2 linked regions of the Rhinolophus ferrumequinum genome follow. The protein of the gene in region 2 purifies or fractionates together with the protein of the main gene of each other region. This does not show direct contact. Links are inferred from orthologs where the notes say so. Each region holds a gene or a part of one and is shown on either strand. Other genes may lie near its edges.

The links.
Region 1: the proteins of CSNK2B (region 2) and RPS6KA3 purify together in Homo sapiens (affinity purification with mass spectrometry; 5 studies listed by BioGRID and IntAct, with this or other methods). This does not show direct contact. The link is inferred for Rhinolophus ferrumequinum from reciprocal best matches to the Homo sapiens genes CSNK2B and RPS6KA3.

The regions. Positions count from the first base shown.
Region 1 is NC_046284.1:111,170,940-111,174,684, forward strand, and holds the start of RPS6KA3 (ribosomal protein S6 kinase alpha-3), read left to right. Parts: upstream 1-1,424; 5' UTR 1,425-1,744; coding exon 1,745-1,813; intron 1,814-3,745. UniProt on the Homo sapiens protein: Serine/threonine-protein kinase that acts downstream of ERK (MAPK1/ERK2 and MAPK3/ERK1) signaling and mediates mitogenic and stress-induced activation of the transcription factors CREB1, ETV1/ER81 and NR4A1/NUR77, regulates translation through RPS6 and EIF4B phosphorylation, and mediates cellular proliferation, survival, and differentiation by modulating mTOR signaling and repressing pro-apoptotic function of BAD and DAPK1.
Region 2 is NC_046286.1:2,159,175-2,162,919, reverse strand, and holds the start of CSNK2B (casein kinase II subunit beta), read right to left. Parts: upstream 2,566-3,745; 5' UTR 2,333-2,565; exon of another isoform or gene 2,067-2,332; intron 1,880-2,066; exon of another isoform or gene 1,743-1,879; intron 1,546-1,742; exon of another isoform or gene 1,391-1,545; intron 1,144-1,390; 5' UTR 1,133-1,143; coding exon 1,061-1,132; intron 361-1,060; coding exon 258-360; intron 1-257. Other genes in the region: GPANK1 (G patch domain and ankyrin repeat-containing protein 1), read left to right, coding at 3,493-3,745. UniProt on the Homo sapiens protein: Regulatory subunit of casein kinase II/CK2.

The DNA of each region.
Region 1 (3,745 bases), on a different chromosome or scaffold from region 2:
TAGGGCTCTCCAGGTGTCTGGGTCCCGAGATAATGAGAGGGAGCTGTTAAAAGGCGTGCTCTGGGAACGCAGCGGGGGACGCGCTGTGGTAGCCAGGCGTGGGAAGCCCGGGACGCCTGGGCCGAGGCCTGAGGGAATGAAGGCACTACAGCCTGGAGAGTTCCCTTTACTTTTTTCCTTCTCCTCGTAGGGCGATAAGCCAGTGGCTGCCGTAGCTTTCCACTCTGCCTGGCGACTTTTGCACAATTCTGCCCGGGGGCAGTAAGCTCGCCACGGCACCTGGCGCGGGGCACACGGGGTCTCACTCAAGCCCCCGGGACCCACTCCAGACACCCAGGCCTCTCCCCACACGCTCTCCCTGTCTTCTTGGGCGCCGTCGCCGTCTGGGGATAGGGTTTCCTCAACCCAGGGCTTCCCTATCTTGGGCAGGAGTTAGAACTCCTCCCTCTCTCCCCCTCCTCCACCCACGGCCTGCCTGATTTTTTTTAATTTAATCTTTTATTTAAAGTCAACAGAGGAGCAGGAACCCCGGACTTCTGCCAACAAGATATTTTAGAATAATTCCCCAACCTCTGCCGAGAGTCTCAGGCAGCCTTAAAGAACCTCCTTGTTTTCTCCTTCATGAAGATTTAGGCAGCAAGGAGTGGGGGGATTTAAGGGTCCAGGTTGAAGCCCGAGGGCTCTGCGGACTTGGGAGGGGGGGACGACTCATGCAAGACAAATGAATTCTAAATATTAAAAATATAACACAAGAGTGTTAATATGGAGAGCCTTGGATCAAACCGAGAGCCAAACCCCCAGGGTTCTCCCAGGCACTAAGCCTTCAGTGTCCCTGGTGTGTGTGTGGGAGGGGGCAGGTGAATGCACAGCGTGTGACCCTGGAGAGGGCAGGTCCTGGCCATTACGAGATGTGCCCATAGACTCGGCTCACCCAAACGCATCCACGGAGGAGTCAAGACGAAAAGACACCCCATACCCGCTCCCCGGGTCCTTGGCACCGGACTGTGCCCCCGGAGCCTCTCCCATCTCCCTCCTCATCTGGGCGGGTACCACTGTTCGCTACATCCCCAAGGATCCTCCGACCTGGTCGGACCCAAGGCTGTTCAAAAGCTCCCACCCTTTCGCCCCTCCTGCTTTTCCCCCTCTTCTTTGCCCCGCCGACGCCCCCAGATCTCTGGGGCTCGCCCTTCCTGAAAATAGGCGAGGCCCAGAAGCTGAGGCTAGGGCGAGGAAGGAGGGAGGAGCAAAGCGTGGCGACCGGGGGCGTGTCTTCACAGAGCCCCGCCCCCGGGTGCGCGCGCGGTGGCGGCGGTGGCCGAGCCTCGCTCTGAGAGACAGGTATCGCTAAGGCGCCATGTTGTGAGCGGAAGTAGGGGAGCGCGCGGCGGCCGCTGTTCTGCTGGGAGCGGGCGCGGGAACCCGCGGTGGGGGGCGGAGCTGTAGTCCCCGCGGCGGAAGGAGGAGAGGAAGAAAGGGGCGAGACCCGGTGCCGGGCAGCGGCGCGAGGTTCTCGCTTGGCGCGCGGGCGTCTCCAGCGGGCGCGCGGTGTTCGAGGGTCGGTGTCGGACACCGAGCCCTCTCTCGGGCAGCCTCTGTCGCTGTTGCTACTGCTGCCGCCGCCGCTGCTGCTGTTGCTGCTGCTGCTGCCGCCGCTGCCGTGGGGCTCGGGCAGCGACTGAGTGGGGCCGGCCGCGGGGCGGGCGGGGAGGGAGGAGGCGGTGAAGGCGGCGGGCCGGGGGGGAAGATGCCGCTGGCGCAGCTGGCGGACCCGTGGCAGAAGATGGCTGTGGAGAGCCCGTCCGACAGCGCGGAGGTGAGTGCAGCGGGGTGGCGGGGGCCGGCGCGCCCCCTCCCGTCGCCCCCGCCGGCTGGCTTCCCTCCCCGGAGCTGGCCACTCGGCCCCTTCCTTTGCCTCTCGCGTCTCCCCTCGCTCCGGGATTCCGGTTGGGGTAGTTGGGGTTGGTCCGTTTGCCCTTCTGTTCCTCCCACCCTCACCCTCACCTCCCCGCCCTTGCTAGGGGGGCTGTGGTGTGGTGGCGCGTGGGGTTTGGAGTGGGCGCTGGGGCTTTGCAAGAAGCCGATTTTAATCAACTTTGCGTGGGGAAAGCGCGAGGCGGAGCGGGGGCCGGCGAAGAGTTGGGAAGTTTGGCCCTGCCTGGTTGGAAGCTTCCGTGGACCCTGGTGGCTTTGAGGGATGAGCGAGGAGTACGAATTGGGTTCACTAGGGAGCAGGGACTCTCGAGTCCCATCCAGGGACAGGGTTGTTTCGGGAAGACTGGCGCGCGGGGGCAAGAACGGCCCAGGGCAGGGATAGCGACCTGTGGGGGTTTCTGGTTGGGATGCAGGACAACCAAGGGTTTTTGCTTCGAACTGCCGCAGCGGTTTCTCCTGCTGCAAAGGAGAAAGTGGAAGCCTGAGATCCTCCATCCCCGCACCCCCCCCCCCCCCGTTTCTGAGGTCGCTCAGTTCTATCGAGGACCCGGTCCCTGCGAGTTTAGCTTGAGTTTCCTGTCCATGGAGGTGAGAGAGTGCTATTCAAGGAGATCAGCGGCCGTCGTAAAGGGCTTTCTGGTTTTCCTCGCACGGGATCTGGTGACCGTCCCCGAGACACCCACCCGAGTGCCAGAAACCCAGATATACCCCCAAACAGGGCAAAATAGAATTTCCCCCGGACACACCACAGCACCGAGCTTTTCACAGCCGCCCCTTGTCCCAGAACCAACTCAGGGTCTGCGAAAATAACCCAGACAAGACCCATTCCAGGGCATCAGCGCTCCTCTTCGAGTGGAAAATCAGTTCCTGATGGTGGCGCGTCTGTGATTCTTCCTTCTTGACTTTTTGCTGTCTTCTATCCCCGCAGCGGACTTTGGGGGATTACAGGATGATAGGCTACGTGTGTGCAATAGTTACCGAGTGAGTGACCCCATTTCTGGAAAGCATGACTGAAACGCGGGGGTGGAACGGGACAGGCTCTGATGAGTGGTGTACTTGGCCGCAGACGCTGCCCTGCCGGCCTCCGCAGTGTGAGAGGTGGATAGGGTTACTGGTTACGTCAGTAAGACCCAGGCTCAGTTTGATCTGAGATGCGGGACACTTGCATTCTCGGGCATAACGGAGGGGAGGGAAAAGAGGGGGATCCGTTTAAATCGCTTTTCAATTTTTTCCTAGTCACCTCCACTGCTGTATAAAGTGTTTACTTGCTCTGCTTAACGCAAACAGAGTTGTAATAGTGCTTACGATTGGTGCTTAGTATTTTGCGATTTGGATCGTATTTTAAAACCCTAAACTAAACGCTGTGCATCAATTGAAAAGACATTGATATATGTTACCTAAATTTTTTTTGAAGAAATCATGTTTTTAAGAATGGCAGAATTACGAGAATTTCATTTAAAATTATGTTAGCCAGACTAATACTATAAATATTTTTATAAGAAAATCAGATTTAGAATGTTTGACTTGATATTGTGAAGAACAGTATTCCAAGGGGCTCTTTTCATTTTTTTCCCTCAGAAATTTTTTTGCATTAAATAATATAGCTAAAAGGTTAATAATGTTCTCAAAGTGCTGACCTTGTGGAAAGAAATTGAATTTGCTTTGAGCCTGATTTTCAGATACAAACGTTAACATGTGCAACTCATAACCAATCCACTTTTCTGCTTGGCACGTACCAATGTGTAAAAAAATCACTTAAAATTCTACCTTACCCTTTTTCTGAATAGCTTATACTTGGATAAGGAAGGCACAA
Region 2 (3,745 bases):
AAAGAAGCGGAAAATGAGAACCCTGGGGAAATGCATTATGGAATATAGCTGAGTTATAGCATCAGAACGCGGGGACAAGTGGTATCAGTCACAAAACTAGGCAAGAATCAGGAGGGGCAATCAAAACGAAGTAGGGGATTTTGGGTTAAGGGAATCAGACAACAAAAAGGAAGTTTAGAAATTCAAGAAGCAGATGAATAGCGATATGAAGAGAAAAAAAGCACATACACACACAAAACAACCCTGAGGTGACTCACCAGGCTCCAGGTCCAAGATCATATCTAGAGCTTGTCGATAGTGAGGCACCTGCTCATTGAGCCCAGTGAGATTGAACTTGTCCTGGATGTAGTCTTCATCCACCTGTCAGGATGCAGAGGTCAAGAGGGAACCCATGGCACAGTCCTTGGCATTGACCTGAGCAAGTCGTTCTAACTGGTGCCTTATCCTCAAGACAGCTGCTTCTGTTCCCAACTCAGCAGAAGCACTTGAGTCTCTCTCCCCAGTTTACCTACACTGCCGTCCATAGAAGCTTTGGCTTTTCTTTTCTAAGGATAAGCATGTACAGCACTCCCTTCCTTAGAGAGGCTTCCCCTTCAAGATACCTGTCCCTACTCCTGCTCCTCCCTCTAGGAACCAGTTTTGTTCTCTCCTTAGGGGCAGATGGCGGAGAAAGGTAGGGGTTGAAAAGCATGGGTTCTGAAGGCAGTTACATCCCTTACGTTGAAACACATTATGTTAAATGCTACGAAACATTTTACAACGCGGCGTTTTAATTCTCCTACCAGTCCCCAGAAATAGATATTACCAATACCCCTCTAGTAATAAAACAGACAGACTAACTTGTGCAACGTTATACTGCTGGCGGGTGGCAGGGGTGGGAGTTGGGCCCCAGTCTTACTATTTCACCACAAATTAGTGGTGGGTTACTGAGGGCACTCTTCCTTGACAGGAAAACGTTTCTATGCAAGCATGCGAGACGAGTGCGCAGAAGCTGAATACGTGGGAGAATCTCTGGCCAGACTACATGTGGAGAAAGGTAGGGAGATTGAAGAGAACTCACTTCACAGAAGAATTCATTGCCACGGAGCCCACAGAACCAGGAAATCCAGGACACCTCCTCTGAGCTGCTCATCTTCACGTCAGCTGGAGAAAGAAGAGTGTAAGTGTAACCCACGTTCTCCCTCCCTGCCTCTGGTATCCTCCCTCCTCCCACACTTTGCTCTCCAACCACGGAAGAATTTGGGGCCACCTTTCCTTAAGGCGTCCCAGACTCTGGGACCTCGCCCCACATCCTCTTATTCACAGCTCAACCCCTTTTTTCTGAGATGAGAAATTCTTTGGGGTCCCGCCACTTGCGAGAAACCGACGGGTCTTGACCCACCAGTCCTACCCACGTCCCTGACGCTCCCAAAGGCCAGTCCCCTCTCTCCTTCACGTCAACTCTGGCCGTGCTCCCTCAGGTCTCTACATGTTCCGGGGCATTTCCCAAGCGTGCCGAAGTTTATTCCTTCCAAGCAAGAGATGGGCCCCTCTTTTCCTCATGGCCTGGGAGGGGGGGAGGTGGCCCTCAGCTCCCTTTCGCAGGAGTCCCCACATCCCTCCTCCGCCCCTCAGGCCACCTCTTCCTCCCTGGGTGCCGGACCAGGTCTCTTCCTTCTCCACCAAACACATCGAAGCGCGGAGACCCCCATGTGCCGTGCCCAGGGACAGGGCACTCAGCGCGGCGACGACCTCAGACTCACCGGCTGGACGGGGGCCAGGACCGGGGTGGGGGAGGGGAGTTGCTACTTCCAAGGAACGGCGACGACCGCTACAGCGCAGGCCGCGGACCGGATCGCGGCAGGCGAAGTGGGCAGGGGGGAGTGGAAATTGGAGAGGGTGGGGAAGAGGGCAACGCGCAAGCGCCAGGGGTCGGGCGCCGCGATGGACGCCGGGAGATAGAGTCTCTGATGGTGAGAAACTGGCGAAACGAGGGAAAGGCGAACTACGAATTCCAGGGTGACCTGCGCACGACCCTGGTGTCGCGAGGCCCCTGGGGAAGATGCTAGGGGCGGGGCGCAGCGAAGCTCCACCGGAAGCGGAAGCCCTGTACCGTGTCCTGGGCCAGAGAGCTTGAAAAATATAGTCGGGTGATCGCGGAACCCGGGGGTCGCGAGGGGGCGGGGTAAGGAACGAAGGTGGCTGGGTGATTTCCTGCCGCTCCCCTCACACAGCGAACGAGACTTCGGCCCCGGCGCGCCCCTGCTGGCCAGGGGACTGACTTCATCCCCAGGCAGCCCGTCGCCCGAACCAGACACGCCACTGGAGACCCCCGACGGGCCCCATGTTTCACCTGGGGGTCCGGCCGCCTGAGGCAGGAGGTGAGGCCGGCCTCCGTGCTGAGGGACCTGCGTAGGATGTGCTGGGCTGAGCGGAGCGGTGTGAGAGTCGGGTCGGCCCAGCGCTAACCTGAGGTGGTGCTAGCCATTATTCTGCTGCTCGTCCCCTTGCAGTTCTCCATTTCCTCTTAGGGCTTGAATGAGGCCTTCTGCTGCGGGCGCTAAGTGTGACCTTCGAACCCTGATTGGAGTAATGGTGAGGGGCAGCGTGACGTTATTTCACAGCTCTGGGCATTCCATAGATTTCCCTCCGCCTCCTCAGGGCCTTTTTTAACCCAGAGAGTGGTTTCCCAGCTCCAGAAAATGAGCTCAGAGCTGGGACCAAGTTGAGGGAGGCGAAGGGCATTGTGGGGCGTTATATAAAAGCAGGACCCCAACTGACAGATCCTCGGTCCTCGTGCTATGCTGGCACGTGGTACTTTGCGCGAATACTATTGGAAAGGTTGCAAGGCGGGAAACCTGGTGCTTTCTGTAAGCCTGTGCCCTCAAGTAAAAGTTTGGTTTTTTTCCACTCAGGCGTCTTCTAGTCGTCTGGCTACTTGATCTTGTGAACTGCTTTGCATAGAGGTGCCATTTTGCAGTACGAAAGCTACAAGACAACGCAGGTTGCAGCCTTCCCCCAAATGTGCTTCCTGCTTCCGGAGAAGTGTCAAGTCTGTTTTTGTTTGAGAAGATAATACCCAAAATAGGATCAAGGAAAGTCTAAAGGGCCAGACTGATTGTTTTTCTTAATGGTATGCCTTACAGAGCGGTAGTTTCAAAGAGATTACTTATTCTTTATTGTTGATGAGGTTGGGGGAGGGGGCTGAACGCAGGACCTCTGCGTAACTGTCCCATGGAGTCTTTGTTAAGCTTTACTAAAGGGCATGGTCTGTTATTGTAGGGTTCCGTGTTTCCACGTGATTTATCATCCTTAGGCCCTGTAGGGTCCTAGGTTGTGAGGTAACTTTTGGGGTGGGAGGGTTTTTGTTTGTTTGTTTTAATCTAAAGCTACTTTCCCTCATCCCAGCAGGTCTCTGGAGGTGGCTGTGGTCACTGCAGGGCCACCACGGGATTGGCTTGCATGTTTCATCTTCCCCTTGCCTAGTCTGATTTTCTCAGCTCTCCCACAGCCATGCCCAGGCCCTCCCTCATCACCTTCACCCCGGCCACCGACCCCAGCGACCTCTGGAAAGATGGGCAGCAGCAGGCACAGCCTGAAGAGCTGGAGCCTACCCTGGATGGGGCTGCAGCCCGGGCTTTCTATGAGGCTTTGATTGGGGAAGAGAGCAGTGCCCCTGAACCCCAGAGATCACAGCCTGAGCCTGCCAGTGAGAGAAAGCGGAAGAAGAGAAGAATGAGGAGGGAGGCTGCAGCAGGAGCAGCAG